Linked DNA regions of Caenorhabditis elegans. The protein of the gene in region 1 purifies or fractionates together with the protein of each later gene. This does not show direct contact. Each region holds a gene or a part of one and is shown in the gene's direction. Other genes may lie near its edges.

Region 1 (3,515 bases):
AAGAAAAATGCTTGAAACTAAGTGGTGCATAGAGGGAGGAGTGCACATGCCATAAAAAAGTGATAAGAGTTAAGCACAGAGGACGCTGTTTGATTTAGACGATGACGTGGCACTGTTTAGGTCATAAAGTGGCAAATGGGGAAAATTAAGAGACTTTCTCATTTTTTTTTGGATAGAAAAATCTGTCTTTTTTCAGTTAGTGGTTCTCACTGTAATGAAGTTTTCTCTTAATTTTTAGATTTTATCTTGCACTTTTGTCTTTTTAGTTTTTGAAATAAAACTGGGCGAAATTCTAATAACCTACCAACACAAAGTGAAGTTTTTCTATCTGCTTTGGCGGCGTCAAAGAAGGTCGCGGCTAACGAGAATCGACGATTTGTGGCCTGCAAATTTAATTAAATTTCAACGATTCCAAAATTGAAATACTATAATTTTTGTCTTTATATTGAAAATCACCTTTTTGTGCAAATTTCGATGCATTTTAGACAATCGCGGAGGGGATTGATTTTACAAGAAATAAGGAAAATGTTTCTTTTTTTTCCAAAAACTTGATTCCCATCCTCTTTATAGCCGATATTTATTTACAAAAGGACCAGGATTCAATATAATATTCTTTCTGCTGACTCATATTCCTATGTTCTCACCTTTTGAGGGACGTCTAGAGATGGAGTCGATGTGGCGTCGATTCGTGAAAGTGCTCGCGGAGTTACTCCGAGTGAAAACTTCCGAGAACTCGGACGGATCCAATTCTCTGAAAACATTTTATGATGATTTCGAAAATATTTTTTTTTTTGCTTCGAAACGTTTTTGTTTCAAATTTAATCGCCTCGGATAAAAGGGATTAGTGGATTTCTATTCTATTTTGATCGGATAACTTTAGTTTTTCATTGAATTTATGCCGAAAGCTCCCCTTACCACCACTCATTTTCCAGATGAATATGTATGTTTTAAACGGAAATTAGGAATAGTTTAATATTAATTACAGGTGGAAACACGATGACTAGACGACGATCGTCCGAATGTTTGTGTGCTTTTTGCTTTACAGCATTGATAAAATGTTTTGAATGGGTGGATGAAAATAATAGCACAATAGACGGGGTGGAGACGCAATAAAGCACCTGTGGCTGCTCTTTTGAAAACGAGAGTTTATTGCAATTTGATATTCAGAAGAAATATTTATTCTGGGAAATTGAATTTTTCAGGTGGGAAAACTACGAATTCCGAGGAATTAATGCAATTCATAGATAATTTGGTTTTGATTCAAGTAAATAAAATGATTTACCTTTAAATAGATAATATAGAAACTCACAAGAATTGGACGCGGAACCAAAGAATCGAACTCGCTTATTGGTTAAATTGTCGCCAACTCGTATGCATCTTCTGTGAAATCTCGTCGGCGTGTTTGCACATTTACCGGTTTTTACGTGTTTGTTTTTCAATTTGAGCATTTTTGAGCAAAAAAAAGCTCTAAACCGATCACGGAAAAGTCATTTCAAACTGGCTTCTTGAAAGATTTATAAAGTGAGTAAGTTGTGGGTTTTTGAAAAAAAAGTCTAAATATATTGTTAGGAACTTTATTGAATGGGCTACCCTCAAAATCCTGAAAAGAAATTCTGAAGAGAATAAAGGTTAATTAACATAGAGTGAGAATAAGTGAAACAAAATTGTTTTGGAAACGAAACATTGTCTCAAAAATGAAAACATTTCCATGAAGGTCATGAAAATATATTTTCACTCTCTTCGAATCTAACGCCTCTGAATTTAATACGAGTGTTCAATTTTATAATCTTCCTTCCAACATCTTTACAAATATGATCCTTTTGTTCATATTTAAGTTTTGTTTATTAAATCACATAAACACATTAAATTTTCAAAAAAAACTCCAAGACAATCATTGCCCTCTGATCATCTCATACCTACTAAACTTCTCTATCTTTCCATCTATCCTATTTGTCTTTATTTTGCAGTTTATATTGCCTTTATCTACTACTGATAACGCATTCGTCCGACCCGATACTTTTCTTTTTCACTACTCTAAAATTCTTCTTTTTTCTTTGACATTTTCCATACAACTATTTTTGTTTTCAGGTATGAACCAACTTTGTCGTGCTGTTCCATCTCTTCGTTCCGCTGTCAGATTGGCCTCATCTGGTACGTATTTTTTCTTTCATTTTCTGAAAATCATCTAATTTTTGCCAAATCAAAGATTGTTCAAGATCAAGCAGTAAGAAATACTAAAAAAATTTAATTTTCAAAGTATTTTATTAATTTAAATTCGGAAAAAAAGTATAACATCGAATTTTTTGATTTTAGGTCGTCTATACACGAAGAAACATGAATGGGTGCTCGTAGAGAACGGTGTTGGAACCGTTGGAATTACGGACTTTGCAACGGTTAGTATTTTTCAATATGTTCAATTTGCATATTTTTAGTTTCCAGGAACAACTCGGAGATGTCGTCTTCATTGAGCTGCCGGATGAGGGAACTGAAATTTCAAAAGGAGACTCAACTGGAGCTGTTGAGAGTGTGAAAGCCGCTTCTGACATTTATGCACCAATCTCTGGAACTGTAACCCAGAAAAATGTGAAATTGGAGGAAGAAGCCGGTCTGATCAACAAGAGTCCATTCGAAAAGGGATGGTTGTACAAATTGAAAGTTAAGTCAGCAGACGAGCTGGAAAAACTTCTTAACGAGGAACAGTATGCAAAGTTCAAGAAGGACGAAGAAGCTGCCCACTAAACAAACACCTTTAATCTCTGTATTATAGTTATAACATTCTGGTACTGGTATTCATATTGAATTCGTTTAGGTCAGAGTATAATGTATTTCTTTTGATATTTATTTTTTATTGTTAATTAAACAATTGTTTAGAAATTGGAAAATATTTTAATGCAAATATTTACAAAAAATGAGGTTAAAATGTGAATGGCAAATAGTTTTGTGAATTAAAAATTAAAATCCCTGTTTAGCTGGATTTCATCACGCCATTGTAAATTCAAATTGAAAAACTCTAAACAACGAAAGAATTAAAGCAAATATTATTATTAAAGTTGAATCAAATTGAAGAGAAAACGATCACAGAGATTGGAGGCAATTACGGATAAGATTATGCGAACAATTGAAAACATTACACTAAAGGCGGAAAACGATTGACACCTTTCAGACCATCAATGAACCCATTTCGCATGTGTACAGTTGTATATAGTGCCAATGTCCTCCACACCGTCACTGCGTCTCTTTTTTGATTATCGTCTAAATCGGTCATAATGGAGAGACGGTGTTCTAATGCAAATTCCATAGCGTCCTGAATAATAAAATTTATAAAATTTCAACGATTCATAAAAACCAGAATTTCATAGTCAAAAATTTGTGAAAGATATTCAAAATTTAGAAACAACTATTCCGATCAATTATTTTCAAATCTATATTACGTAGGCGTCTGCAGATGATAATTTTCGGCAGATCTTACGCGCATGGGTCTCGCCACGCGAACAACGAGTTACTGTAACTCGTGT
Region 2 (4,707 bases), on another chromosome or scaffold:
CTCTGCTAGTCAGAGAGGGAACTGAAACTACTTTTGGCTTTAGACAATTCTTTACGTCGTGTGTGAATTTAGAATTCCCTCTTTGTTCTAGGTTCTTAAGCTCAACATTTCTACGATATTTCAGTAATTTTTTCCTATACCGTTTAGCTGCGGCCACATAAATCAGAAAGTCTTTTGTGTCCCTTGAATTTAAAGCGTTTCTATAAGTAATTTCAACAAAATCTCTCAGTGCATTGAGGTACGGTGGAAGGAATATCTCATCTGCTTTAACAGTTCTTTTCGGGATTGAGAGTTCAAAAGTGCTTTGCATTTCTGCTAAAAACTGATCAAACATGTCATTCACTGAATTGTGAGCACTAAAGAGTTGATTCCAGTTTATATTGTCAATGCACTGAACACATTTGTTCCAATCAATATTTTTGAAATCATAAACTTCCTTGCTGGCGGTGTGTTGCTTCTGTAGGAGATCAATACTAAACTGGAGTCTACGATGGTCACTGTTTCCTAGTGGTGAAAAAATTTTTATTTTTGAAACATTGAGGTTAGAAAAGACCAAATCAAGGATGTTAGATGCTCTGGTGGGGTTGGTTACGAACTGTTTCAATTTTTGGGTTTTGCAGAATTCTATTAACATTGTGCCTAATCGGGTATCAGATTGTGGATCTTGCCCACTCCAATTAATACTGCTAACATTCAAATCTCCTAGTATAACAATTTGACCCGGGTGATCGGTTATGTCTTCGAGCTTATTCAACAAAGTCACAGTATCATGAAAAGATGCGGTTGGAGGCCTATATATGTTTACTATGCGTAGTGGAGTGACATTGACGTTGACATCTAAGACCAATATTTCGAAAGCTTTGCGTTTCGATTCTGCAAGAACCACACTACAGCTTATACTATTTTTTACTAGAGTACATACTCCGCCGCCCCTTTGTTCATCTGGACGATCTGCACGGTAAACCTGGTAGTTTTTATTATTGAAAATAGAGTTTTGCGTTTTACTTGTAAGCCATGTTTCTTGCAAGCAGACTAAGTCATGTTCATTTGTGGTCAATTCCCCCATTAGTTCTAATCGATTAGCATTAACAGATCTTATATTGGCACATAGTACATTTAATTTGAGGCCTGGGATTGGGGAACAATTTAATTTTGAGAATAAAAAACCTTTAGAATACACGCTCAGTTTTTTGGGACGTTCTTAGCGGGCTGCATAATAGAGACTCGAGGTGGTTGGTTCTGCGTGGAGTTATGTGAAGGATTTTTGTTTACACGTGAACTATTGTTGGTGTGCATGGCGGTGGGTTGGGAATTGGTGGGTTGGAGTGATGTGGATTGACGGAATTTGATGCGGTTTTCTCTAAATTAAAAACAAAGTGTGACATTCAAGCATTGATTGAAGAAAAGCTGGATGTTCTGGTGACTTAAACATTTTCAATGGTTATTCTGGTTTGCTCATGGTCAAACTTCATAATAAATTCAAATCTTCTCAAACTTTGATCGCTCTATGTTCATGTGAACCTTTGGATTGCACAGCTTCATTTAATGATCTGAACAATCTAAATCCAAAACAGACAAACAAGAAAGTTAATCGTCAGTCTCCCGCCCATTCACATTGTAAAATGCTCAAAGTAATTGGTGAGAGAGCAATTGAATTATTAGAGACACAGACAACACACGTTTTTTACACTTTCTGACGGGTCCATAGGATGCGGAAGGGTCGTTTTCTCTGCTCATTTCATTGCTTGTTGATTCTGGTGGTCAACAAAAAAGTTCTAAACTACAATGGGAGGAACATCCTTGGATCCAGCATTGGCCGAGATTGGAAAGAAGAACGGGCTTCTTGTTTGGAGAATTAATGTACGTTTTGTAGTCAATGGAGTAACATTTACAGTGTCAAATCTAGTCTGAACTACGGTACAGTCACAATTATTTCCTAATATTTTAAGTGAAATATTCTGAAATATATTACAAATGTTGTGTGTTCAAAATTAGTTGTCATTGGAAGTGGTCTATAGTTTTAAAATCTTGCACTGTCATCAACAAACTAATATCTTACTCATCCTACGTTTAAACCCTTGAACTTTGAAATGTGTCATATCAAGTTGTTTGTGTCAAAAATATTCCCCAATATCTTCTTTATCCTCCCCACGTATCTATCAGTTCCAATGTTTCGCAATTTCAGAAATTTGTGTTGGAGCCGGTCCCCGAGGTTGATCATGGTGTGTTTTACATTGGAGACGCCTACATTGCACTCTACGTATGTTTTCCTATAGAACAGAATATATGAAAAGAGATGGTTACAGCAAAAGTACGATGGATGTTGGGATGTTCATTTCTGGCTTGGAAAGAATGCATCGACTGATGAAATTGGAGTTGCAGCAATCAAGACTGTAGAGATTGACGATGTAAGAAATGCTTCTAGAAAGTTTTAAAATTTGATTGTTTCAGTCTCTCGGTGGAATTCCAACCCAACATCGTGAAATTCAAAACTACGAATCTCCTCTCTTCTTGTCCTATTTCCCTGACGGAATTCGTTATGTATCTGGTGGTTATGAATCTGGATACCGTCATGTAGACGATCAGTTCAAAAACTGGAAACCTCATTTGTTCCATTGTAAGGGAAAACGAAATGTGAGATGCACGGAGGTAAGGAAAAATAAATAGAAGATAAGAGACATTGAAAGCACACAGAATACAATTCTAGGTGGAATGTGAAGTGAATTCTCTTAATTTGGGAGATGTATTCATTTTGGATCTGGGAAAGGATCTTTATGTTTGGATGCCACCAGAGAGTGGAAGACTTGAAAGAATCAAGGGAATGGCTCGTGCCAAGAATATTGCTGATCATGAAAGAATGGGAATCCCGAAAGTTCATATTCTTGATGATGTTGAATGGGATAATGATTCAACATTCTGGAGTTATTTTGGTGGGGTTTCGTCCGTTAGGAAGGTGTCAAAGGGAAAAGATGACGATGATAACTACTGGAAAAGACTTACGGAGCAAATTACACTTTGGAAGTAAGACAATTTTGAAATTTGACTGGAATTTAAGGGAATTTATTTAACCTATTGAAAATTGATTTATTTCAGAGTTTCCGACGCATCTGGTGCTGCTAAAGTTAGCATGGTTTCTCAAGGCGAAAATATTCGAAAAGAGCAACTTGATCCCAAGGTGAGTTGCCGAATCAGTTTAATTGAAACAATTTTATTTTAATTCAGGATGCCTTCATTCTTGATGCAATTAATGGTGGAATCTTCGTCTGGATTGGACATGAATGTACTCTTGAAGAAAGATCGAAGGCTCTTATTTGGGGGCAGAACTATTTGAAACAGCATGTATGATAATTATTTTATTTCGAAAATAATTCCTTTCACATTTCAGCATCTTCCCCGCTGGACACAAGTTACTAGAGTTCTCGAATCAGCTGAATCTACTCAATTCACCCAATGGTTCCGTGATTGGGTTGATGAGAAAAAGAAGAACACATTCACTCCACTCCTTTTCCAAGTTGGTTTGATGCAATGAGCAATTTTCAGATTGAAGTTTCAGGTTTCCGATGAAAGCGGTCTTCTTCATGTTGAGGAAATTGCAAACTTCACTCAAGAAGATCTTGATGGAGATGATGTCATGATCTTGGATGCTTTGAATTCCATCTACGTTTGGGTTGGAGCAAATGCTAATGCAAATGAGAAGAAAGAAGCATTAAACACTGCAAAGTTGTACTTGGAAAAAGATAAGTTGCCACGTCACAAGAAAACAGCTATTGACACGATCTTCCAAGGAAAAGAACCACCAACTTTCAAGAAATTCTTCCCATCCTGGGACGATAATTTGTTCAAGAATGTAAGTAATTAAATACTCTTATGAAAACAAAAAATATCATGAGCTAACATATTGTATTTCAGGAAGTTCGATCCGTGCAGAACATGCGTCGCCTTCTCTTCCACTAATTAAACTTTTTTAATTTTAATTTTTCATTGTATCTTATAATGTTTCTACATTTCTAATGTAATTTAAAATGACTCATTGAAATAATAAACACTGCCTGATCATAACTTTTTACAAAATAAGTGAAGGGGTACATCAGAAGATCGTAGCTAATAGATCTTTATCAGCTCCTCGGTCTGCCCCACAACCATCGTATTTCGTCGTTTTCTTCTGAGAAAAAGTGAAAACGTGTCATTTTTATGTATCGTTTTCATTCAGAGCTTCCACTCTTCCTTTTCTACATCATCGACCTTGAAATCCTGTGAAAGAACTGTTCAGAACACACTGCTGGGTCTCCATGGCTACACTGATTTCAATCTGAATCTGATATGTCTTGTGAACATTTACACAAACATATGTTGGACGAAGAAAAATAAACTGCTGAAAGAATTAAGAAGGAAGCTATATACAGAGAAATCGAAACGTGCGAAGCGTGAATATTTTCCCGAGACGGAACAATATGAAAATCGGAAAAGTGTCGGGCATTTGCAATACAAGGCTGAGGGGGAGAACGTGAAAAATCTCTGAACGCATTGTTCCCTATAGAAGAATTATTCTCAATTTCATGCAAATATGTCATTGTGTTTTCTTGATTTAACTTTTTTAATTTTATTTTTATCGTCCTATACCGTGATTCAGCCTTTCAGACAATCCTCTCCTTCACTAACTCTTGGGAAAAAGAATTGTTCTGATTCTAATATTATTTCAAATAAATA

Evidence for each region.
Region 2: the proteins of gcsh-2 (region 1) and gsnl-1 fractionate together in Caenorhabditis elegans (co-fractionation; one large-scale study listed by BioGRID). This does not show direct contact.

Annotation. Positions count from the first base shown.
Region 1 is NC_003279.8:7,345,297-7,348,811, reverse strand, and holds gcsh-2 (Glycine cleavage system H protein), read left to right. Parts: upstream 1-2,088; 5' UTR 2,089-2,090; coding exon 2,091-2,151; intron 2,152-2,313; coding exon 2,314-2,393; intron 2,394-2,439; coding exon 2,440-2,739; 3' UTR 2,740-2,874; downstream 2,875-3,515. Other genes in the region: kbrl-1 (NF-kappa-B inhibitor-interacting Ras-like protein), read right to left, coding at 305-383, 645-751, 1,283-1,448; glb-18 (Globin domain-containing protein), read right to left, coding at 3,128-3,304.
Region 2 is NC_003283.11:9,495,320-9,500,026, forward strand, and holds gsnl-1 (Gelsolin-like protein 1), read left to right. Parts: upstream 1-1,722; 5' UTR 1,723-1,785; coding exon 1,786-1,860; intron 1,861-2,185; coding exon 2,186-2,260; intron 2,261-2,306; coding exon 2,307-2,408; intron 2,409-2,451; coding exon 2,452-2,649; intron 2,650-2,707; coding exon 2,708-3,021; intron 3,022-3,093; coding exon 3,094-3,175; intron 3,176-3,222; coding exon 3,223-3,339; intron 3,340-3,385; coding exon 3,386-3,511; intron 3,512-3,553; coding exon 3,554-3,847; intron 3,848-3,909; coding exon 3,910-3,954; 3' UTR 3,955-4,057; downstream 4,058-4,707. UniProt on the Caenorhabditis elegans protein: Calcium-regulated, actin-modulating protein that binds to the plus (or barbed) ends of actin monomers or filaments, preventing monomer exchange (end-blocking or capping).